Drosophila melanogaster: one gene and its partners. The protein of the gene in region 2 interacts with the protein of the main gene of each other region in a pairwise test. Each region holds a gene or a part of one and is shown on either strand. Other genes may lie near its edges.

Region 1 (9,797 bases), on a different chromosome or scaffold from region 2:
TCGAATTTACTTATGTATTTAGTGTCTGAAAATTAAAAGGAACAAATGAAAATTGATAAAGAAATATTTTGAACGGCGCGCCAATTAAGTGCTACCCATGCGGGCAATTTAACATGGCTAGCATTGACCGTCGATAAATTTTTAAATGCTCGATGTAACGGTTTCGTGTGCAGTATCTTAAGTCATAGATGGCGCTCGCTGTAACGGCTTGCCATGTGCTAACTTAATCCATAGATGGCGCCAGATGTTTCGGTTTTAGGTAATTTTTGAATTACAAAAACTAGTTTTTCTGTGATTGGGGTTCAGTTTCTTCCTAAAGTAGGCTTAAACCTAATCAGAAATTCGGATTTTCAAAGTTAATTTAGTTGTTGCAGGTACAACTTATAACAATAATTAAAATAAGCTAGTAATATAATATCGAGAGACAGTACCATTGAATAATCCCATTCCACCCTATGCAATAACTCTTTTTCACGTCTTCTTTAATTTCCTTGCGCGTTAGACAAACAAATCTATCAATTAAGGGGAAAGCTTTAAGCTGTCAACACGCCCAAGTACTTTTGTCCCCTTGGGATATGCTGCATTCATTGTTTGTTAAAAAAGAAACTCCACCCCATCTTCGCCCAAAGGATTTTCAACGCTTCTTCGGGTTTTCTTGAAGTATTTTCCTGTTTTTTTTTTTTTTTTTGTTCGTTGCCAGTTAGCCCGAATTGTCATTGGTAAAATTTTGTTTACAGCCGCAAGTTGATCTTATTGCTGGTTGGTATATCCTTACCCACACCCACTATCATCCCCATCGGGCTTGAGTGGAAACCGCTGCCAATTGTCGACTGTTGCATGAATTATGAGCGTCTGCCAAGATTTATGAATTTCGAGAGGATAACAAAAGTACGCAAGTATTCATGACAGGACCCTCCTCTAACCGCATAGAAATCCCCGCGGCAGCAAAAAGGGAAAAATCTGTCAGCTGTTAAGTTGAGTTATAAATTTCCTGCAATTAGGTTGAATTTCAATTTCGCTGCTATCTCTTCTTGCTACTTACTTTGATTACACAATCATGATGATGATGATGATGAGACCCCCACTTTGCTTCTTCTTTTTTTGGCCCCGCCTCTCTTAGCGATGTTCATGCAAATTTTTATCGACACTTTTGATTCAGACTGTACTCGTGTTGGTTTTTTATTCACTTTTTTGTTTTGTTACTGCTGCTTTGATTGGCTTTCAGTGCACTTTTTCTGCCTCAATGTGCAGAAATTTGCAAACTCATGAAAATCCATACGTTTGATAACAATGTTAAAGGGGGGGGGGGGGAAAACAAGAAGCAACATAAATAAAAACGGAAACGGAAACGAGCCTGGTGAACGCACAAGTCGCCACGCCCCCACCGTTTTGCATTGCAATGTGTTCATTAAGCAACCGGGTAGCAAACAAAATCAATGAATGGTGTAAAAATTAATATCCTGTGGGGCTCAAATGAAAAAAGAATAAAAAAAAAAAAAAAACGAGGAATGCAAGAGAACTGTGGCGGGAATTGGGTGGCATTGTCATCGTCAGCAGCAGCAGCCGGCAGCAGTTTTAATTTACACAAAGCGTAGTCAGGCGTGTAATGCTCGGTGGCGGTATGATGAAGGCTCCTTTTTTATGTGGCGCCCAACGTTGGTGGGCCTGAAGCTCGACAATTCGTGCAACGACATTTAAAAAATGCCTTAAGGCAGCAAATACGTGGAAGATGAACCAACAGGCGACGACGACGGCGTGAAATGATTTATGAAATTACTTTTACCGTTGCATATTTCTAGGGGCAGGGAAACTTCAACTTGGGCCACAGTTTCAGTTACAAGCTGTCATGTTTATTTGCAAAGAAACGTTGATTTGATAGATCTCTATCATTTTGTTGTATAAGCATTTATTGAGCGCGTAACTGTTTCTTCTTATTCTTCAAGTTACTTACCTTCTCAAAACCACCAATTTCTGTAGAAAATGAAATAAACAATGATCATATTATGGACACATTAACTTTATTCGTATTATTTAAATAAGTAGCCTCAATCGATTTGCGTGATGGAAGCCTCGTCATTGCTGGAACATCGACTGCTCTCGCCATCCGTGCGATACTTGATGGAGTCAATGATCTCCACATCGATGTCACAATTGCCCTGATTGCCGCTCGTTCCCTCCAAACCGGCACCCGTATCACTGGAATTTCGTTCCAGTGAATCTTCATCGCAAAGATCGGGTGCCGAAAGTGAGGCACTAACCGATGCCGATTCCGACTTGGCATCGATATCCTGACTCTGCACCTGCGCCTGATGGGCGGCAAACTGACTGTAAAGGCGTGGCAGATGTTGCAACATATAGCTGGCGCCCGATTTCGATAAGTTTGCAGCTGCAGCAGCGGCAGCAGCGGCTGCCGAAAGATTAGCAGCCGTACTGGACGGTTGATTTTCCTTAGTCTCGCCCAGATCATAGTATTTGGCATAGTGCTCGAATTTGTTGCCCAATGTGCTGGTGGTCACTGCACCACCACCGCCGGCGTTTGATCCTGCCGCATTGGCGCACAGATTGATGGCATCGTTTTGGGCCGCCTTGGGTATGGGTACAGTGAAGGCGGAGCCATGACGCTGTTTGCTCAGCAAATTACTGGCCAAACCGGAAGCGGAAGTGGCGCCCGAGCTGGAACACGAGCCGGGTGAACCTTCTTCGGCAAGTGCATTATTGCTACTCGAAAGCGGTGAGACATTCTCCTTCTTTCTATCGTATATATGTCCGGAAACGCGAAGATCGATGAAGAAGTGCAACGGATCGATGCCGTAGGGTGCATAAAGTGGTGGATACCAAACCGGTGGTGGTGGCGGCAGGACCAAATCCTGTGGTGGCAACGATGCCGCCGGCGGTGTATTGTCCTGCAGGTTAGTGTCGACGGCACCACCCAGACCACCAGTCTTATTGCCAGCCGTTGGTGGTGCCGTCGTTGGCGTTGGCGGTGTTATACCCATAGCACCTGGTTTGGTTTCCATTTTGGCATAGCCATAGGGTGTCATTGCCTTATTGGTCAGCTCTAGAGGTTTCTCCGGCACCAGTTGCTGCTGAAGTTGCTGATGTTGCTGCTGCTGATGCTGTTGATGTTGCTGCTGCTGCTGCTGCTGCTGCTGGTGTTGCTGCTGCTTCTCCTCTGCATCGCGTCGCTCCCGCAATTGCTCGTAGTATGGACGATGCGACCAGGAGCGTTTTCTTGGCCGCCTCACCAAGGCGGCCTGATGTTGCTGCTGCTGTTGTTGCTGTGCCTGCTGCTGCTGCTGCTGCTGTTGCTGCTGCAGCTGCAAGACACGCGCCGTCTCATTATTTCGCGCTTGCACCAAGGAACGCAGCATATCGCTGAAAAAGAAATTATTTGGTCCCACGGGTGCGGAATACAAATACGGTGGTGTGGCTGCCATTAAACGACTGACGTAGTCCTGATTTCTTAGCTCATGGATGTTGCTCTTGCTGCGTTGCTGCGGATTTTGCGGATTCGTTGCGGTTGGATCTGCAGCAGATGCTGCTGCCGCCGCTGCTGCTGCTGCTGCTGCTGCTGTTGTGGGCGTACTAGGCGCACTGGGCGTGGCATTGCTGGTGGTTACCCCTGCTGACGCTACTGCTCCTCCCGTTGAGCATGGCATCCCTGCTGTGTTGCTCGACGAGATGCTGTTACTGCTGTCCTTCATTGCTGCTGCTGTTGGAGAAAAAAAGTTAAGAACACACAAAAGACGTTGGCTCAGTTCTGTGGCTGAAGTCACTTGAAATTTATATTTGTATAGGGATATATATTTGCATTGTCTTGGACTGGCATTCCACCGCCTTTTCCATGCTCCCGCCCAACCATTACCCACGGGACAATTAAATCTGAATTTTCTGTTTGCTCCGAGTGAATCTGTCTCGATGTATAAATGTGTGTGAGTTTTCTCGGTTGGCAAGGAAGTCTAAATAATGACTGAAGGGACTTGGTGTTGAACTTGAAAGCGTCTTAAGATTGACTGAAAATCCAAGATGTTAGCAAATGGAATGTAATTGATAGAAAAGTAGATTAGAAATCAGTTCAAGCATTAAGCATCAAGCCCGCAACCTTTAGAGTCCTGTATTCGTATAATTGTAATAGCATAACTGCCATGTGCATCAAATCCATTGTTCCACAGCTGCCGTCAGCTAAGCTACCTTTATTATAACTTTATTAAGCCAACATCTGTGCCCAGCACCCAAAAAACAAATGAAATTTGCATAGAAAAACAGGCGCGCAAGTTCCCTCACTCTCCGTTATCCCCATAATTTTTTTTCCGTCTCCAACTCCCCGCTGATCCCTTAAAAGCTGTTAATAAGCTTACACACATCGCGCCAAATTCCAGTAAATTAAATGTTTCAACAGCAGTGACACCCAACCACCCTCATTGCCGCCTCCATTTCCGCGAACGTTGGAGGACAAACTCAATTGTTGTGTTGCCAAACTGTTGAGGCACTTGACGCTGTGTCCTGGCTGCTTGTATCCTGTGCCGCCTGTGTGCCTGTCAATTCTAACCAGGAACAGTACAGAATCACGCATTGAAGGACCCCCCCCCCCCATTTCCACGACTCCATTGCCTTGTTGCTCTTTCATTTTCGCATTTAAAAAGTTTTTAACAACCCACAGACGACGCCTGTTACCGAATACCCTATAATAAAACGAAAGTAATATCAAGGAGTACACAAATTGAACAATTTGAAGGCATTACTTAGTTTGTGAACTTTGAATTAATCCTTCATGATTTTTTCCTTCTATGGTTTCTATGGTTTTTTCGAAAACGAAAAACATAATTTGCAATTATTCATTATAGAATATATTGCATTTTTAGGTATCATCAGCTTCTATACGATTGCTTGGAACATTCATTTGCATTCCTTCTGTTTTTTCCGTTATTCCATGTTGGATTTGTGGAATTTTTTATTTTTATATTGTTTTTTCATTTCGTTGTAAAAATATATAAAGTTTTCAACCGTCGCAAAAGGAATATATGATTGGGGGTTTCGGAGGCGGAGATTTTCAAACGGACGGGTGTTGATTTGCATTTTTTGGCAGCCGTTGTTCGTGAGAGGTAAAAATGTTGGTTAGGGCGACATTTTTGCGACAAAGTTAAAATTAGATTATGCTAATTAAGGCGCGGTGGTTGTGGGCGGTGATAGGCGTGGCCAACCCGGCATCTGGTACTCGGTGGAAATTCCGTTGATTTTCCCCGGCACTGATTGATGCTGGGCAGAGCTTTAATTGCCAGTTTCTCTTCTCATTTTTAAATTGGTTATGGCTGTGGTGGCTCTGGAGCAACTGGCAGCATTTTAATATTCAATCAGCAGCTGTCGGCCAACTTTCTTTTATGGCCCATGCCCAAGTTTGTGCATAAGTTTTGCAGCTGAGAATAAGTCCGAGAACTAAAAATATGGAGCTGAGATTAATGCGCAAAGTGCATCCGACTTTTGTTTGTCTTTCGTCTGGGGATAAGCTGAGTACTAACTTTTGCGAAATTCTTTTTTTTTCCCCTTCTCAAACAGCGTGGCAATTAAAACCAGAGTAGAAAGTAATCCCTCCACTGGATTCCCCTTGGGTGGTGATCCACCCACTCAAGGCTGCCCAGCTGATTGATGTCGCATCATCGATGTTAAATTTAAGCCACCACCGGAAAATAGAAGAGCCGATTGGGATTGCGGGCAACCCCTGTAAGCGTACACTTAACTGGCACTTGGGCTGGGCAACCTTATAACATAATTACTGCATATCAAACAGCGATAAGTTGCCCATGCCACTTCATTCCGAAATCACTCTGGAGTTCATCTTCCCACCCATGGAGTTGGTTAGCAACCCTCCTCGTGCTCACCTGGTGTGCAACCCTGAACGAAGTCTATGTTCGCATTTTGTGCCATTCAGGCGCGGTTGTAATCTTTGTAAAGCGTGATGTATCGTGTAATTGGCGCCCAATGTGGGGCTTTATGAACAGTGGATTGTTATCGGGTTAGTTAAATAGTTTCAAAGGATGAAGAATTGGAAAATATGTAGCTGCCTAAGAATGTAAATCTGAAATTAGCTAATAATTTTAAATATAAAAAATTTTTTTATGACCAAACTAGATCGCTCAAATGACTAATAAATAACATTTTTAACCCTTGCTCGTTAAGCGTCCTGCCTGTTCCTGCCCTGTGTTTAAGCCACCCCGCTCATATCCACGCACATATGGGGACAAATGAACTTGTTGGTTTGTTGGTGACATGGCGTTGTGGTGTTAACGTTACAGCGTTTGACTGCGAATTAAAATAATGTGCCACTTGTGGCTTTCTGTCCATGTGTGTCGGCTACAGCAGACAGTTACCCCTGCCCCGCATCCGGGGAACTCTGTCCCGTGTATGTTGTCCGTATTCGTGTCCGTTTGGGTTGCCTGAAAATTTGACAAAATTTCATTTGCAACTTTGCCCGCTGCCAGAGATACGCATGCATCACAACGTTTTTCAAAATCGAATTTGCGTTGAACCCTTTCTGACAGGTTCTTCGTGTAGATTGATCTGGGATTTTGCAAAGGGTTGAAGTAAAGTGCAACCCCTGGATGCGTTTGAATTATGGCTAAATAATTTCTCCAATGAAAATTTGAAGTTTAGCTTGGATTGTTTCGGTTCATAGACTGACTGAAGTGCATAAAGTATTTTTGGTTTTATTCTAATCATTTGGATTAAATGTTTCAAGAAAGATTAGTAAAGTTCTTGGGTTTGTTAGGCTTTGATCGAAAAGTTTAATTGTAAACGAATGCCTTATGAAGCTTATATATAAGATTTTATTAGCTTATTATTAACCTTATTAAAATATCAGGTTAATTATTAAGAATGTCCAAATTGTGTTTTATTAAAAGAGGAGTTCTTAAGTTGGAATATAATCATTGATTGCATTTTCACAATAATATTTTTTATAGACGCGTTTTTTTAACACATTCAAATCCGATCTTGCGAGCTGATCAATTTTCTCACCTATGATTACTATATTGATAGATATATTTGTTTAAAACTTATTTCACTTAAAAAAAATATATAAAATAATATAAGCACTGCTTGGGTAACGCGTTGCTAGCGGTCTGAACTGCCGTCGATGACAGTTAAAAATCAAATGAAATGAGTGCCAGCAGCGGCAACAGCAGGAAAGCAGAGCAGCATCCAACGAGTCCTGAGGCCGAGACAGAAACAGAAAAACAGAGACCGAGTACCAGAACCAGAACGAGGCGAGTTCGGTGCGATTTTAAAATTATGAATTGTTGTAAATGAAACGAGGCGTAAGCAGAGCGCCAGCAGAGCTGCTAGGTGGGTGGTGGTGCGCCACAGTCGCTGTGGCATTGGTGGTGCGCATCAGCAGCAGCAACATCGACTGTGGCAGTAGCAGTAGCAACATCACCAGCAGCAACAGTGCTAAAGTGTTCATGGAAACCACCCTCGAAGAAAGGTAAAAAGTTTTCAAAAAGACGACCAAAACTAGAGCGAGACGTAAGCTCATTGGTCTATGGGTTGATCGCTTCCGGTTGGTGCAGTCTTGCCAAATTTTACACGTTAAAGATCGACTGGGAAACGGAAGTAAAGAGACCTTCTTAAAATGGTTTTGTTTAGGTAATGAACTGCTTATTTGGCGCCCAACCTGGGGCTTATGTGCTTCGGAACACAAAGCATTATCATATCATGCATTATCATAAATCAAAATTCTAAGAATTAAATTCAAGAATAAGTGTTATATTTATTACTGTGATGGAACTTTTTTTTTCCACATTTCTCGGGCAACGTTCCCCGGTTTCAATTACCAATCTCTGGCGGATGTTGCCAGTGGAACAATGGATGCAGTCCTTGGCTACGGGCAACGTGTTGCTAAAACGACAGCTCAACTGCGGGAGTAGGTGGGTGATGGGCCGGTTTGAGCAGGATAAGCTTATAATTTCTATTACAATGAAGGCATGCGGATGCGGTTGGATATGTAGAGCGTTGCGTTGCTTTCTTTGCTTAATTTTTTGCTGCCACCGACTGTTTGCGACTTCATTAGCGACACCTCCCCACAAGCTGTTGCCAAGCAATTGCATCGTGTGTCTGTGTACGAAGATCACTGGAAAAATTTCACTGTTATTGGTATAGTTGTGTGTAGTTACTTGTTTGTTCTAGTACTCAGTGCTAAGACTTAAATAATCATAAATAATTATGATGAAGGTATGTGGATTTTATTTAAACATTTAACAGTGGCTATAGCATTTTTCGGCTGTGCATCTTTGCAACTTGCCATCGGCAATGGAATCTGAATCCAGAGCAATAGCTTTGAAAAACTCGTGTAGCTTTTTTTGCAGTTTGCTGGGCTGAGCTTGTTTGAAATAAATACCGCATTTTTTGGCTCGTCCTTTTTTGCACTAGTTGTTAGCTGTTGCCACACGTTGGTTGCGTGTTTGCCACCCACTCGCAGTATTAAAAAAAAAAAAAAAAAGAAAAGCTCCCATGGCTGCACATCAAACGTCAGCACGGAAGGAAGCTGTTTCTGTCCAGGGAGTTTGGGTATGGGCGTTTGGCATTCGGCATTGTCTAGCATTCCCCGCCATCACCCACCAAAAACCCACACCAAATCCATTTTTCCCTCACCCAACGGAGGCTGTGAATGTTTACACTTTGGATTTGGTTCTGGTCGTCGCATTTCCCTTCCACCTTTTTTTTTTTTAATTTTTGTTTGGACTCGACTCAGCTCGAGATTTTGAATACAACTCGGTTAACGGTTGTTATGGCAATCCGTTCGGAAAAGGGACCTGGTTTTATAGCGTGTAACAGCGGCTGTTGCAGTGGGGAAGCCCCTCGAATAAGTTGCAAGTTGGGGCGGTCAAAAGATGTGGAATTTCGAAAATGTTCAGCATATCAGAAAATGAAAAGTATGATCAAGGTACGCTGATGAATAAAGTGTGATTTAAATAGGTAGATCATAATATGTTTGAAATGCAGAGTTGCATTTCGATATTGTGTTGATCGATGAAAGTTTGAAGTGATGCTGATTCCTACATAAATTAAATATAAAATTAAATTTATAGTTATTTTCGAGGGACATGTTGCGTGCTTTTAACAATTTAAAGACACTATATCTTCCTCTCTTTTATAGCCGCATGCAACGTCTCACACATGCCACACAATTTGTGCCACTTTTGTGATGCGCATCCATTTCCGCTTGGGCGGCGGCACCACTTTCAACGCTCCACCCATCCGCCAAACCACTCGCTTGCCATATTATCCTTGCTTTTATTATGATTTTTTTTTCACATTTCACTCGAGCGTTGATTGAAATGTTGAGCGAACATACACGCACATATACAGACGGAGAGACAGACAGAGAAGGTTTGAGGTGGTTGGGTGGTGAAAGCAAACAAAGCGGTGCGAAAGGGAAGGCCATACGTTGAGTGGTGGTGGGTGGTTTTCTGGGCTGGCTGGGCTTATTTGTTTGTTTGCATGTAAATTGCAATGTACCACCGTTCTTAGACCTGCACCCTCCACCCCCCACCACCATTAGCCCGTTTCAATTTTTTAGATTTTAAACTTTGTTTCTTGTCTTTTTGTTAAATGTTTGCCGCTCCCTCCGCTGATTGTCATTTGCTTTTAGCGCCGCATTACCACCCTCCATTCTCCATTATGAGTGGTTCGCGCGGTTGGTGGAACGTCCATCATCCATCCATTTCATCCATCCATCAAGGACAATCAAGGCAAACGCGCGAGAGCTTTTTGTGGGTTTGATTTTGGGCTCAGGCCAACAAAAA
Region 2 (8,257 bases):
GGAGCACTTCGCAGGACTCGCCATGCATGTATCTAGTGCAGGGGATACACAAATCGAGGTGGCAGCTTTCCTTTCCTTTCCTTTCGCTCCTCCTGCGCCATTCAAGCCCGAACACTCAGGCTGCGTGTGTGGGTACATGGGTGTACGGGCTTATAGGTGAATGGGTGTGTAGTGCGCTATTTTTAGGCTTACCTGGGTAAACGGACATTTCGCAATGACCCAATATGCTGCACAGTAGCGTTGCAGCGAGCGCCAAGCTAACGGTGATTTCCAGGCGAGCCGCCATCTTGCACTTGCCACCAAATGCACTCCCACTTGCGGATTTCTCGAGACCTCAGAAATCAATTTCGAATGGGAACTATCTAGCACTGCACGACCTCTGCCACCACTGCCATATGGCCGGTTAATGGGGCTTTGGCTAGAACGACGACGTCGACGAGGGTTATTGATTTTCAACACCCACACTCGCACACACTTGCGAATATATCCAATTGGCAGCTGCTGGTGGTTGCTCCCCGAACTTTTGCACTTTCGCGTGGGCGTGCAATATTTCTGGCTAGTAACCTGCGCCAACTGCACTTCTCGAGGATTTTTGGGGGTTATTAGGTGTCCTAGCAAAGGTTATGCTGCACTCTACCGGGTGGTTAAAATGTCAAATGGTGCACTTTTCTCACAGATTGCTGGCGAAGAAGCTCAGATGGACATATGGCTGTGGGGATATATGCGGATGGGACTCGACTCCTGGGCTGCGTTGCTCCGCTGTCGACGTATACCGTTATACTGAAGAAACTGAATGAGCCTGGCGGCGGCAAAAAGCCCGAGAAGAAGCAGAAGCTGTGACGCAAATGTTAGGTTCGCCCCCGCGCTGTTAAATGTTGCGGGCAGCTTTTGAGGGCAGGCCGCGCAGCAACAACAACAACCAGAGGGGCACAGTAGTCAAAAGCAGCGCATGCGCACAGTGGGGCTGAAAAGCTCGGCACGTCCGTTCCTTTATTCTTTGAGTAAACACGGGCATTCATAAAGAGCCGAGACGAGGCCAAGGAGACTCTCGGCCAGCTAGCAGGTGGCTGCCACTCACGAATTCCGAAGCCCCGTCAGCCAACTCCACGCCCGCTTTGGGAGAACCCTCCCTTTCCTCCAGCTTCCTCGCTTGGGATAGGGCGTGCTTAATTTTTATCAATGAATTGGCAGCCAAAGAGCTTTTCTCACCGGCAAAGGACTGCGGGAGTTATGGTAGGCCGAATAGTGTATGTGTAGCATTGGTCCTGATGTCCGAATCGGTTGGGAGAAATACCCCCAAGTGGATCTCGGATTCTTACGCGAAATGATTTCGTAACAGATTATCGGGGAATACTCATCTTTTCCTTGCTTTCTTTTCATTGATTAGTCGTTGATAAACGGACTTTTAAAAGACATTTAATAAAAAAGCTTTTAAAAACTTAAAAACCAAAGGTAAGTCCTTTAATAAAGCATTTCATGGAGGTTCGGAGAAAATTAGCATATAAATTGAAAATACATTTAATTAGACCTGGAAGAATTTAAAATCGAATTTAATAAATTATTTTTAACGGTATATACTAGAATCGGTATATTACGTTTAAATAATTTTGAATGGTCATGTTTCGGTCATACTGATGAACTGGTTCATCTGGAACTACACATCTGAGTCATTTTTAGGAGCGACAAAGGAAAAATTATAAACAAATACAATGGCCACCTTAAAGGGTAATTATGCACAACAGTCTCTAGCAAATCTAATGGCTTACATTCTTCGCCTACATCAACACCAACTGGAACCCGCTACACGCCTCTTTTGAAACCATCACACAGCGTATGTCTACAACTACACCCACTCCTGCAGCCAACCGTCTGATAATGATTCCCCTCTTTGTGCAGCCTCTTCATCTGCGCCTTTCTTACATGCATTGGTGTTACCTTCCTGATCCTGGCCTGCGCCGTGCCCACGACAAAGATTTTCTATCCCTTCTTCGTTTTGCTGTTCTACGTGCTGTCAGTTCTTCCAGTCTTCATTGCCAGGAGGACAACTCCTGGAAATGAGACCAATCCGAAATCGGAGTTTGCTCACTTCCTTACCGCGGGAATGGTGCTGAGTGCCTTCGCCCTGCCCATCGTCCTAGCCCACGCATTGGTGGTAAGTGGACACACGGAGCTATTGGGATTTTAAGAGTGTTAAACACGCGATGTCATTCTTAACAGATCACCTGGACGGCGAGTATCCTGACGATAATAAGTAACATTATTAACTACGGCACCATCTTCTGGTACGCCATGCGCGATGACGAGCCATACGGATCCATGTTCTAGAGGGGATTTGTAGTTCACAAGCTCACTAGGCTAGTAACCGGCGCAGGAATATCACCGATGCACTGGGTCCTAGGGTTACGGCCATTTATCCGTAAGCACGCATGCTGTTCGCTTATCCGCAGTCATCAACAAATCTCATATAATCAAATGTATCCAGATAAACGCAAACAAAATAAACTGACGTAGTAGACATTGTCTGGTTCCGGTTCTTTTTGCTGGTTCGATATCGATATCTAAACCACTATTCCATAAGCAGTAATTCTCTCCACTGGCGTATCAAGGAGGGATTAGCTCTCAGTTTTCACTCACTTAATTGAACTGGAAATATTTATAGTCGAAAAAAAATAGCCTGGATGGTGTTCATTTGGCTGCACTGGAACTAGGAACAAGCATTCAGTTGTTAAATATACAAATTTGTAAATATCCTTGCTGGATAAATGAATAGCGGTGTGGCGTTCCTTTTTTCATTGGCGAAAGTACACGTCCTTTGACAAATGGAGTTACACCTCATTTGAGCCCATAACATGGACAGGATTATAAAATCTGAAATCAAGAAGGAACAGATCACGGGTATTCCTTCGGTGGCCCTTCATGGCATCGAGAACTCGATGCAGGACGATAGAGATGTCAACACTGACGTGGAGGAGGACTTCACGGAGGAGGAGTTGGAGCTATTCACAGATCAGGATTCAGACACGGGAGATTCTGATGTGTCGCTCACGCAGCCTGAGGCAGCGCGCAGTGTGCTTTTGAGCAATGCTCCTATGCGCAAGTACCCTTTTAAGCTGAAGCAAAGCGAATCTGGGTGAGTATGCGCTCTAGGCACATTGCGGAGTTGTTGCCAACGAAGTTTGCGAATTCCAGGAACGTCCTAACCGTTCACCACACGATCAAGGAAGCAGGTCAGGCACTGCGCATCCAGATTGCCGCCTGCTGCTTCAACGAACTTAGCAACAAGCTGGTGGTAATAGACAAGCGGTAAGGTTGACAGGGGAAACAATAACGTAATACTCTTTTAAACAGTCTTTTTTATTTCCCAGTGGCAATGTTTTCGTCTTTGACTTTGTACGCAAACGCTACTGGCGGCTGGGATTCCGGATGCCCAAGGCCAAGCTCATTCGGCCATCCCCTCTGCACGGTAGCGACTACATTGTAGGCAATAAAACGGGCCACATTTTCACCATAGACGTGGACAACTCAATTCTTGGGGTCGACGGAGAAGTGGGAAGCGCAGCGCTTGAGGAATTGAGTTGGAGCAATAGCCTGCAGAATGCACGCTCCTCTATCGCTCTGATGCGTTTCGGCAGCGATGCACTTCTGGTGAATCTCCATACTCTGGAGGTTTCCCATCAGCTGGATTTCGATCAGTCGCGCTACACGCTGAAGTTCGCTGCCTTCCTGCCCCACTCGGACCAGTTCTTTATAGGGTTTTCTAACGATTCTCTGCATGTGTGGTCCTCGCATTCATTGAGCACTTTGCGGATGGGCCAGCCTATCAAGGCCAGGAATCGCAAACTGAGACTGCTACCAGCCGCAGAATCTATACCGGAAATAGTTCTCCGAAGCCCGGATGACAGTGACTTGGAGGAGGACTTGACGTTTGACTGCCAGCACTACGACTTTGCCGATGGAATGCTACTCAGCTACTGCTTCACCCCCGACGGCAACAAGATGTGCCTTAGTACCTTGGATGGCTATCTTTTATTGCTGAGCGTGGCCTCTTTTGATCTGGAAAAGATGTACCGCTTGACGGACTTTACTCTCCACCAAATGGCTTTCCTCTCGCAGCCAAAGGAGCGCATAGTGTTTGGAATCACCACCAGAAACCAAGCGGTCATGCTGGATTTAGCCAATACGGATCACAAGCTAATTGTGCAGCGCTCCAATGCACGAAGTTTGAGTCTGAGTCGGGATGGCAAGCTGTTGAGTGTAACGTCTCGCTGCGGAGAAGTCAATGTGTGGTCCACGTGCCGCATTTTTAACGCCCTGCAAGCTCAGATCCGCTGCCTCAGCCAGGTGAAGTCCACTTTCAAACAACCGAATCCTCTGCCGCCCTGCAGCGTCGGTGGAGGCGTTAGCAAAGAACTGCGAGATCTGCTCAATCCGCAGCGCCTAAAAACCATGCTCAAGGAGTACGGTTGCTATCCTGAAAAGTACAGGTACCTAATTTGGACATCCCTCTTAGACCTGCCCTGCAATGGGCCTCAATTCCAGGAACTGATCAAACTGGGGGCACCTCTCCTGGTCAGAAATCGGGCCAAGAAGCTTAAGATTCGCAACGATCACCAACGCCGTGTTGTGATTAAGATTTGGAGTTGCCTTGCTCAATGGTGCAAGGTCTTAGCTCACGCAGATTTTATGCCACACCTGATTTTTCCGTTTGTGAAGCGAATGCCCAAGAATAGTCTGGTTTGCTTTGAGTTAATCGCTACCCTTGTATTGAATCATTTTCAGCTGTGTTTCGAATTTCATCCGCTGCCGCCCTCCAATTATCTGGCCATGTGCGAAAATATCCTGCAGCACTGTGACGAACAGCTTTGCAAGTTTTATAAATCCCAGGAGATGTTGCCTAAAGATTTTGCCTGGCCCCTTCTGAGCACTGCCTTTTCCGAGGTCCTTGAAGAGGAGCAGTGGCTATCGCTGTGGGACAACATATTTTCGGAACCACCCTGGTTTCCAGTCTTTCTTGTAGTGGCCTACAATTTGATTAATCGAGAGATAATCTTGCGGCTGCCAGACAAGCGATCAGTCCTCTTCTTCTTCCACGATCAGAACCCTGTGGACATCAGCAAACTTCTTTCCAAGGCGCGCAAACTAATGTCCAAATGTGCGCTTGCACTTCACCCACAGCGTTTCATGACACACTTCAGCCCCATTCCGAAGGGTGTGTATCCAAAGTTTCTCAAATATCCCAGCGAGTGGATCGATGAGCAGGAGTATCAAGCAGTATCGTTGATCAAGCACAACCAGGAAATCGATGCCCGAATTCGCCATCTTGAGTTGGAGGAGGTTAAAATTATGGAACGCCTTGAAACAGGACTTAAGCAAGAGGAGCACGCTCGCCGCCTCAAAGAAATGGAGAGAGTTTACCAGGACACAATCCATCGCGAGGAAGAGCGCATCACCTGCCAACGGAAAATGCTGCTCACCTACCAAATGGAGGTGCGTCGGCGCAAGAGCGAGGTCATCACTAAGTTACAGGAGTCTGAGCAGCGACGCAAAATTCTGGAGATGGAGAAGGACATGGACCTGCTGATGCACAGTATTGAGCGTGAGCGTCGGCGTCACAACCAAGAAATGCAGCTGGCCGAAGATGAAATTCGTAACCAGGAGATGGAGCTCCTTGCCCAGCGCTACTACTCGGATACGGAGGGTGCTCCACTGGCACAGAAGTATTACGACAAAATCCAGAAACTTTGCTATCAGCGTGATCAGCTGCAGAAAAACTTGCGTGATGTATGTGATAAAAGATTTTAGATTGTATTCTGTGATCTCCTAAGTCTACTTTCTTCCGAACAGATGACCATGGAACAGCTGCGAACTCCAGCAACATCATCTGTGCAATTTAGTCCCCAGCTGGTGGATATCGAGAATTCCATTTTTGAGATACAGAGAGAGTTTACGGAAATCATAACCACAGACAAAACATTGGAGTACAGAAGGAATTTAACTTAACTGAGGCTTTTTTGTACGAATAAACTACAAGGCTAGGATTATGTACATGGCACTAGAAAATAAATAAACAAGGCATATTGGTTATTTCTTGGCCGCGCTTGCGTTGCTGGCGGACGAAGGCACTAACACGTTGGGCACATTGATGAGCAAGTGTATACTGGATGGTGGAATCCGCAGCTGGTCGGCCACCACTATAAACGAAAATAAATTAACTTAACTTCAGGAATGGTTTATTAAAGCTTACCGCCAGCTAAGCTGCTGTGACTCCTGTGCTGCTGCAGTTCCTTTTCTAATCTGGAAATTCTTTCGTGCAGTTCTTGATTCTCCTGCTGCAGCTGGGCGTTCTGTTTGATGAGGTCCTTATGCTCGTTTCGCATCTTGTTACGGTAACGAGAGGCTGCTGCTCTTCGTCGCTCCATACAATCCTCGTCCCGACTGCGATCCTTTGCTTTCGCAGCCTTGGGCGGTGTGGAGAAACTTCGTCTGTTATTATTGCTGTGGATAATGGCCTTCAATCGCTCCTTGATGGGCAGCTGTGAGGTGGGCGTCAGACTGGCGCTACTGGGCTCGTTATTAGGTGGGTTGCAACTGACCAAAATAGGCTCGGGTCTTTTACTGGTCTTGTTTAATTCTTTCGCAGTGGGTTTCGGCAGTATGAAGGGATGAATGGCACCAGTCGGCTTCACCCTGTTTCTGTTACAATCAACTGTAGCGATGGAAATGGGAACTGACTGCGCAGGCAGCACCCATGTTAGGACCTGGGGCTGGATCAACTGCAGCGGCGGCGGACCATCTTGACTGGCTTTGGAAGGCGAGGTAACTGTCGTGGCCAGAAGCTGGTCCACATCCATATCGCCGCAGCTGACACTTTGTGGGACCTGATTTTCAGACGGAACTGATACCACGGTGGGGGCCTCGACGGGATACACCTGGGGCGTGTGCAGGGACTCACCGTCATTGGGTCGAGCCTCTGGGCGACTCGGAGTGCCGCTGACATTTCGCTCCGCTGCTTGCTGGAATCCAATGTCAAATGGATTTACGTGCTGCAGGTCCTCGAAGAGACCCACCTCGTCGCAGTTCTTGATGAGTCGCGTAGGCGTGGGCGTTTGGTCGGCGGCAAATAGAGTGTCTGACTTCTGCCCGAGAGAAATGTCTAGCGAAACATGTTCCGTCTGTGCCCGAAAGTTCTGATAGCAGGATACGTCGCCCTCTGGGGATTTTGTCTCAAAGTCGCCGAAGGACACACTGGCCAGGTGATCCATGTCTCCGGCGGTGTCCATGTCAGAAGTTACATCAAAATCATGCTATTTACAAATCAAACTCCATAATCTGCCGACAATTCTCAATTAAAACAACTATTTTGTAAATCACATTAGCAAAACAAAAAATAAAATTGTTATCGATGTATGGATGTGTTATTGAACCTATCGGACTCCATTAAGAAACCAACTCTGGCTGCAGTGCTGGAAAAGGTACTAAGTTCTTCTGCCGTAATTACGATGTAAAATGTATTTTATTACTGGTAGAACAAAGATCATAACGTAGAACTTAAAATAAATCAAATAAATACTGAATAATCTTCATTGTGTAACAAAATAAGTAAAGGAATTTTCAAACCTCGATATAATGTATATTTTATATGTTGTTTACCTTAGCACAGTAGTGATGTGTGCAAACCGATATATCGATACCGCGAGTGGGTGCAAAAAAGGCGCGCGAATGTTTTCAATTTGAATCTGGTTACCAATAAATACTGTGTGTAAAAAATACCCCTCTGTCATGAGACCCTTATTATTCCTAGCCTTTCTGTGTTTGAAGCTGTTATGCAACCACTCTTGACATTCGGCATTTCCGCAACGAAATTGCGTATCTGCCATCGCATCCAAAATGCCAAAATGCGAGTCTTCGGCACGTAGAAGCAATCATATGTGAAGAAGAGGAAGGTAAAGCGAAGAAAAAACATCGAAACATTTTTGGTAGCCAAGAAAACCCCATAATTTAAAATTTGTATCTTTTAAATTAGATTTCTCATTGGAGGAACAAGCAGAAAACAGACAGCGGACAAAACAACACGCAAAATGATTTCAAGCCGCTCGCATTTTGGGAAATATGCACGCAACGAAACGAGCAATTTTCTAAAACTCTGCCGCACAAAAAGCAGCAGACTCGACTTGTGGGTCAAGTTCAGTGCTTAAATTGTTCCCAGCGAGAAGATGGAGGACCCCTTCCGGCCCTCGTCCTCGTTGTTCACCACCAC
Region 3 (7,356 bases), on a different chromosome or scaffold from region 2:
TCGGAATTCTAAAACCAACTGCTGTAACTCTGTATGCCAGTTGCGGGCGCATTGTCATTGGGCCCTGACTGGAACGCCTGTCCAGAATCGGGGCGTCGATGTGTTCGCCCTGCTGCGGTTTGTAAATGTACCAAACTTTCAGGACCTCCAGCAGTGGAAAAAGAACCTAAACGAAAGCATGCTCGGACATCGCCGACTTAACTTTATAATAAAACCACTAATGCTGCGCAGGACAAAGCAAAAGCTACAGGCATCTGGCGACATGCCTGCGCTGCCTTCCCTTAAGATTGAACTTATATGCGTACAGCTATCGAAAACTGAAATGGCCGTGTACCAGATCCTGTCTGCCATATCCAAAAAAATCTTTACACAGTTCCTGCTCCAACGCGAGAAGGGCAACAGTGATTTAAATTATTACTCTCTGGAAAGAACCCCACAGTTTATAGCCGGACATATGTCCGACGAAAGGTACAACGAGATCTACGAAAGATTCCTTAAGTCGCTTGGCTACAATCCAGGGGAAAAGATCCTTGGTATCTATATCCTGGTGCTACTGCTGCGGCTACGACAGTTTTGTTGCCATCCGGGACTAATGATTGGGGTAAATATATACATATTTTACTTTATCACCCCACATAATCATACTCAACATCTTTCGTTAGATGCTGCGTGGTGCTTTGACCGCCGAGGACGTCCAGAACGTGAAGGTGGATGCCTCAGACGTGGAGGGCCAGCTCAAGATGGATGTCCTTGCCGAGTTGGATAAGTTTGACGAAACCGATAGCGAAGATGACTGTTGTGACGAGGAGGACAGTACTAGAAGAGATGGCAATTTCAAGTTGGAAGTGATAAAAGATGAAATTAAGGAGGAGAATGTGCCATGGGATTCTGGTGATGACCTGCCAACGGCCAGTTCTTTTGAGGATCAACTAGATAGTGCCAGAGCTCTTAAACTGCTCAATCCCCAGAATCCCATCTTTCAGTTCATACGCCCTTCTGCCAAACTAAAGATGGTCATTGATAAGCTAGAGGAACTGCTCACAGGCACCAACGACAAAATCATTGTTACATCTCAGTGGGTAAGCTATCTCGCAATCGTCCGTAAAAGACTGCAGGATCTATCATGGGAAACACTTGACTTTAATGGCCAGCTGACCGCCAAAGAACGCGAGATTGTACTGCGAGACTTTAACGCGAATAACGAGAAGCGCGTTCTTCTACTCTCCCTCACCGCTGGCGGAGTGGGACTGAATCTGAACGTGGCCAATCATATGCTAATTGTGGACCTCCACTGGAACCCGCAGCTGGAGCGACAGGCTCAGGACCGCATTTATCGATATGGTCAAACTAAGCCTACCTTCATCTACCGCTACATGTGCCAGGACACTGTAGAGCAACGAATTAAGTCCCTGCAAGATTGCAAGCTAGAAATTGCGAAAGTTGTGCTTCCAGAGGAAGGAGGAGAAGTGACCAAATGTGTTGGCGGTGGTCTCAACCTCGCGGAGCTAAAGAAACTCTTCGAGATGTGAGTCGAAGTATTTTAGTTAGTTTTAAGAAGATTATGTTTTTTTTTGTTTAAATTGTTCGCATACAAAAGCTTTACAATTTCACCAAAGTGTTTTTTAACGGATTGAATTCGTTTACAATTGTGTATTAATACTACACAGACTACCTTTAACGTTATACGTTACATTTGATATAGTCGCACGTCCATAAAGCATAAAGCATATATATTCCCTTTTTTTCTATATTAAGAACAAAACGTACTAATAATAAAGCATACTAGTTGTTTTCATGATGTATGGATCATTCTTTTTGTCTATTTTTCCTTTTGTTCTCGCAAAACCACAACAAAGCTAAAAGAAAAAAGTTTGAAGCTCTAAAGATATATAAGAAGGCATTAAGTAGCATGTGGTAGCAATCAATCGATTGTTTAATTATTTTCAGTATAATAATGTATTGTGAAATATACAATTAAAAGGAAATTTCAATAATATAAATTTAGAGCTTATTCTCAGTATATTTGAGTTTCTGTGAAATATATAATTAAAACGAAACTTAAATAATATTAATTTTGAGCTTATGAAAGTAACAAAAGAATCATATTTAAGAAAATTCAAAGTAAGAATCAACAACAGAAGTTTAGACCTGCGGTCATTATAATTATAATGAATAATAAATCGTTTATATTCCTTTCACATATATTAATCTGCTTAATTCAATGGTTGTTTTCCAAGAGTATAACCGGTAGTCACCCGTTTGGACATGATCTTCTCCTACATCGCTATTACGTTGTTGCTGTGAATGCGTTTTTTGTGCTTTCGCAAGTAGTTAACATCTACAAATACCAATGAGCAAAATTCGCAACGAAACAGATCTCCCATGTGACCACGCTCGTGCCTTTTGAGATGTTTTTCTGTTTTGAACTCCTCGGAACAATAGGTACATTTTTTAAGATGATGTTGGCGATTGTGAGTAAGCATATGCCGCTTCAAGGCGTAGACACTACTGAACTTCTTTTGGCAAATATCGCATATCGGTTTCCTGTTGTTAAATAAATAGAAGCAAATGATATTAGTTGATTCGCCTCGACTATCAGATACCCGTTAATCAGCTAGTAAAAGTGCGAGGGTTTTCTATTTCTATAAATTTTACTAAATCTTAGGGATTTAGCTCCTATAGTTAACGGGATCACGGCGTTCTTACGGACACGCAGACGGACGGACAGACTATTGATCCTGTGCAAGATTATTATTTCCTTCTACTAGTAAACCTTTTTATTACTTATCGTGTAACGGGTATACAATTTTAAAGTTTGGTTAAAGTTTGATTATTCAAATTTTCTTCGGCGAAATGGCTATCGCCAAAAATTTAAGTAAAAGAATAAATGAAAACAATAACTTAATGTCCGTTTGTTGGCTTTTTAAAGGTCTGAAACAAACTCAAAACCTTAATTTTCTAGATTTTTAATTCCAGAGATCTCTGCGGACAGACAGACGGAAAAATAGACGAACGGACGGACTGATGAGAACTTATGAACTCGGCTAGTGGTTCCGATTAAGAATATAAAGGGGTCAGATACGCTACCTTCGCTCGTCACAAATTTCTCAGCGGTACTAGGGTATAAGTATAACTATCAGGTATAACTATATTACATAAGACTGGTGGAGTTCCAAACTCACGGCTTTAGCATAGGTGGAATGCTGCACGTGCCATTGAAGGTGTTCTTAGTCCACTTTGGTTTTAGATCCTGCGCTTGATCGCTGTCGTCCGAGTCAGGATCCTTCGTGGACTCCGATTTTGAAGAGCCCGGCCTTTGTTTGTGCTCTCTGCGATGGATTTCCAGCTGAACGTGTTCGATAAATACCGCTGAGCACTGGCTGCAGGAGAGCGGACCGTCACTGTCGTGGGTGCGCAGGTGCCTTTTAAGGTGATCTTTACGCATGAAAGCCTTCGAGCAGTGGAAACACTTGTGCGCTGGCTTGCTTAGGTGGTTTCGCAAATGCCGCTTGAGGTTCGATTTTTGCATATAAGTGCGTGGGCAGTAGGGACACCTGTTGCACAGATCGGTGATGTGGGTCCTTAACTGGGTCTGGGAACAAAATCGCTTAGAACAGTGCGGGCAGTTGTAGTAGCCATCGGCATCGCAGATCATTTTGGTACTTCTGAAAATCGGGAATATAATTATTTAAGCTTATTTAAGTTATTTTTAATTATTCATATAAAAGTATAAGTAATCAAAGATGTACCTTCAAATTTTTATAATTTTTCAATTATTTGTCTATCTTGAGGCTTGATATTTATAACAAATTGCATTACCTTGTAGCTTCCTTTGGGATCATGTCTGCCTGTTCTTCTGTGCGACAAGTCCGCTTACGAGGATGCAGGGTGAAGGACTCCGGTGGGCCATCAATATTTCCCTCTTGGAGCTTCGCTTGGAGTGTTTGTTTTTGACTAAGATCATCATCTGGTTTCTGCGTTTTTGTCATTTGCTGCGTATCCTGTTGACGATCGCTTTTGAGCTGCATTTTCTGGTTTATTATCTGGTTCTTATCCCCATTACATGCAGCTAAGTGCACTTGGTTTTCCGGAGCACCCGACTGGTTTAGGACGCGGAAGAAGTGCTGGTAGCTCTGCTCGCTTTGCCACTTGAACCGGAAAGCATTCTGCACGGCCAGGACGCAGGAAACGCATATGAACTGCGGCAGCAGGTCGCCGCGTTTCACTGGACGTTCGGTACACCTGGCCAGGATGTGCGAGAGGCTCATCTCCGGTTCGTCGAGCACAGGATCCCTTACATTGGCGAATATATCTACCAGGGTGCCGGTCTCGTCCATACAAGTCCGGCACACGTTCTTCGCGCTGTGCATCATCTAAATCAACAACCAAATGCAATGTTTTTTAATAAAAGAACAGTTTACGACATCTTATGAATTGACCATTGACATTGGCCTTGTTTTGCAAACTAATAATCCCGTTTCGCTGGTTTTACAGTTATTGCTGGTAAATTATATGAATAAACGGCACATTTTTTAAAGAGTTCAATTGATTTCTCATTCTACACAAGTGTAAGTGTTCACTTTTTGGAGAATTGGATGATAACTGGAACTGCAAAGAAACCAACCGTCGCACTGATCATTTGTACATTTTTTTTAGTGCTGAATAATACATGTACACATGGAAAACAATTATTCAGAATAAAAAAAATTGAGATTGATATGATATGAAAAAATATGTATATATGTATATATATGTATATATGTATGTATATTTGTATTAATAACACAAATATTTTTCAGGCAAGCTGGCTTTCATTGTAATTTAATTACGATTTGGTGTTCTATTTATTTTGGGAATAGAGTACTAGTATTTACACAAAACATCTGATGATTCATTTATGAAATAAAAATTCAATATTTTCAATAGAAGCTCTACACAGCAAATAAAAGCTTTTGATGAAAATATGTTTAACCCGCCGCTAAAATTTTAAAATCAATCCAATTACATTAATTCTGCATTACAATATAAACCCAAGCTTTATTGATTAAAACCATACTGTGCGTAATATATACATTTCAGTTTCTTACAATTTAAATATCTAGTAAAAAAAATTCGCTAATTGACAGTACTATATAACTGAAACAGGTTGGCAGCCCGAAGGCAACAGCTGATTCGCTTTATGAATGCGGAAAATTTGTCTGTGTGTTTATGAATATTATGCCGATCAATGGAACGAGGAATAGTTATGTGAGTGGCTACGCGGCAATCACAACATACGTACTCTGTAGAAAACCCCGCTTGACTCCTTGCCAGACTCGATAAATTGGCCCGCAGCGCTTTGCGGTTGCACAGAATACCGCAAATCAACCGCCCATTGGCCCCTGATATTCATTTCAAGCGCCAGCACAGCAGATCTGGGTCAGATTGCAAGGAAATCTGGGAAATGCTGAGCCAACTGCCTCTGTTCGCTGGGGGCGAGATTGTTCGGGGCTTCGGACGCGGCTCCAAAGAGCTGGGCATCCCAACAGGTTGGTGGCGACGTTAGGCGAATTGCGAAGGTCATTTCTAATTGATAACCAAACCACTTGTTAGCTAACTTTCCGCTGGAGGTGGTGAAATCGCTGCCGGAATCCCTGCCCACTGGCGCGTACTACGGTTGGGCAAACGTGGATAATGGACCCGTGCACAAGATGGTCCTCAGCATCGGCTGGAATCCCTTCTACAACAACAAGGAGAAGAGCGTGGAGACGCACATGCTACACGACTTTAACTGTGACCTTTACGGCCAGACACTCAAGATATGCATTGTAGGCTACCTGCGACCGGAGCGCAGTTTCGACTCCCTGGAGTCACTGATTGCCGCCATCCGCGGGGACATCGAGCAGGCCAAGGCGTTCCTCGACGAGGCGGACAAGGCCAAGCTGAAGGAGGCTCCGTTCTTTACGGAGAAGCTCTGCTCGTCGAAATAGCGATGGCGTAGGTCAGTCTGGAAAAGGAGGCTTTGCTGAAGGACGCACTACTACTCTTCGCACGGCTTTGAAATAGTTATTCCATCAGTTATCTTATCTCTCAATTTGCGCGATGTGCAAAGCGGAATTCGAATATCGAATCAAGTACTTAAGCTAAACGTTTTCATTAAATTCCTACTGCTCATAATGACACCAACAAATTGAACCAATCGCATTTCAGTTTGATACTTATCAAATGTATAAAAGAAACCGTTTTTGTAAAAATGTTCCTACTGTGAATTTTTTCTAATATATTTATCTCTTAGTGGCGTTTTTATTGAGGGATTGCAGTGAACTTATTTTCAATTGTTATACATATGTAGTTAATTATTATTTATTTATTTCACGAAACATTTTTTATATTTCTGGTTTTAATTGCCTACGTGTTAAAAAAAAAACTGTTAAATATTATATATACGAACATACACATACAATTTTTAATTAATTTTAATTGCGCAAAATAACTTTAATTCAATTTAAAGCTTATTATTTAGTTTGATTGCGTATATTTTATATAAACGAATAAAATCAAATTATAATGTGTATATTGTTTTGTGTACTAAATTACAAATTAGGTAAAATTCCAATTTGAAAATACAGACTATAGAATGCTATCGATCCATCAGCACACCGCACTATCGATATCAGCGACCGATCGATATTGGGCTTGATCTCGACCGATTCGGGAAAAACTGAGCTGCGCGTGCGAGCGTGCGAGGATTTTTCTTGTATAAAACCGTTGCGTAAATCAGCAGGTAAATCAGATCGGCGTCAACTGCGCCACTGCCTGCAATCAGTTGCCTTCAACCAGCATATTGTACCGATTTTTCAGCAGCAACATGTCAGCGCCACAGCAACAACAACAGTCGCAGCAGAAGCAACAACAACATGTGCGCGTGGTCGAGCAACAACAGGTGGAACCAGCTGAGGCGGTGACCTCCAGCATGGAATCGGAATCCATCTCGGCCAGCAAGGAGCTAACCGGTTTGACGCACGAGTGCGGCGTTTTCGGGGCAATCGCTTGCGGAGATTGGCCCACCCAAATGGACATTGCACACGTGATCTGTTTGGGGCTGGTGGCACTGCAGCATCGTGGGCAGGAGTCTGCGGGCATAGCGACCAGCGAGGGAAAGTGCTCCAAGAACTTCAACGTGCACAAGGGCATGGGTATGATCAGCACCCTGTTCAACGACGACTCCATGAAGAAGCTTCGTGGCAACCTGGGCATCGGTCATACACGCTACTCGACCGCTGGCGGATCCGGAGTGGTTAACTGTCAGCCCTTTGAGGTACATACGACACATGGAGCATTGGCCCTGGCCCACAATGGTGAGCTTGTTAACAACGA

The links. Proteins that work in one complex are often made in the same cells at the same time.
Region 1: the proteins of CG16896 (region 2) and CG15478 interact in a two-hybrid assay, tested with the Drosophila melanogaster proteins (one large-scale study listed by BioGRID).
Region 3: the proteins of CG16896 (region 2) and kipf interact in a two-hybrid assay, tested with the Drosophila melanogaster proteins (one large-scale study listed by BioGRID).

What each region holds. Positions count from the first base shown.
Region 1 is NC_004354.4:7,710,780-7,720,576, forward strand, and holds CG15478 (uncharacterized protein), read right to left. Parts: upstream 7,154-9,797; 5' UTR 7,012-7,153; intron 4,338-7,011; exon of another isoform or gene 4,192-4,337; intron 3,713-4,191; 5' UTR 3,705-3,712; coding exon 2,046-3,704; 3' UTR 2,004-2,045; downstream 1-2,003.
Region 2 is NT_033778.4:24,869,233-24,877,489, reverse strand, and holds CG16896 (uncharacterized protein), read left to right. Parts: upstream 1-2,577; 5' UTR 2,578-2,849; coding exon 2,850-3,130; intron 3,131-3,189; coding exon 3,190-3,303; intron 3,304-3,365; coding exon 3,366-5,781; intron 5,782-5,844; coding exon 5,845-6,000; 3' UTR 6,001-6,081; downstream 6,082-8,257. Other genes in the region: CG44247 (uncharacterized protein), read right to left, coding at 193-286; CG30423 (uncharacterized protein), read left to right, coding at 1,710-1,725, 1,831-1,831, 1,897-2,152, 2,218-2,325; Atf-2 (activating transcription factor-2), read right to left, coding at 6,082-6,191, 6,245-7,280.
Region 3 is NT_033777.3:7,911,101-7,918,456, reverse strand, and holds kipf (kipferl), read right to left. Parts: upstream 4,607-7,356; 5' UTR 4,374-4,606; coding exon 3,820-4,373; intron 3,666-3,819; coding exon 3,183-3,665; coding exon of another isoform or gene 3,179-3,182; exon of another isoform or gene 3,088-3,178; intron 2,545-3,087; coding exon 2,277-2,544; 3' UTR 2,004-2,276; downstream 1-2,003. Other genes in the region: CG10445 (uncharacterized protein), read left to right, coding at 1-601, 663-1,529; Rfk (riboflavin kinase), read left to right, coding at 5,444-5,528, 5,593-5,969; Prat (phosphoribosylamidotransferase), read left to right, coding at 6,848-7,356. UniProt on the Drosophila melanogaster protein: DNA-binding zinc finger protein that recruits chromo domain protein rhino/rhi to specific chromatin regions enriched in H3K9me2/3 histone methylation, mediating piRNA (piwi-interacting RNA) biogenesis.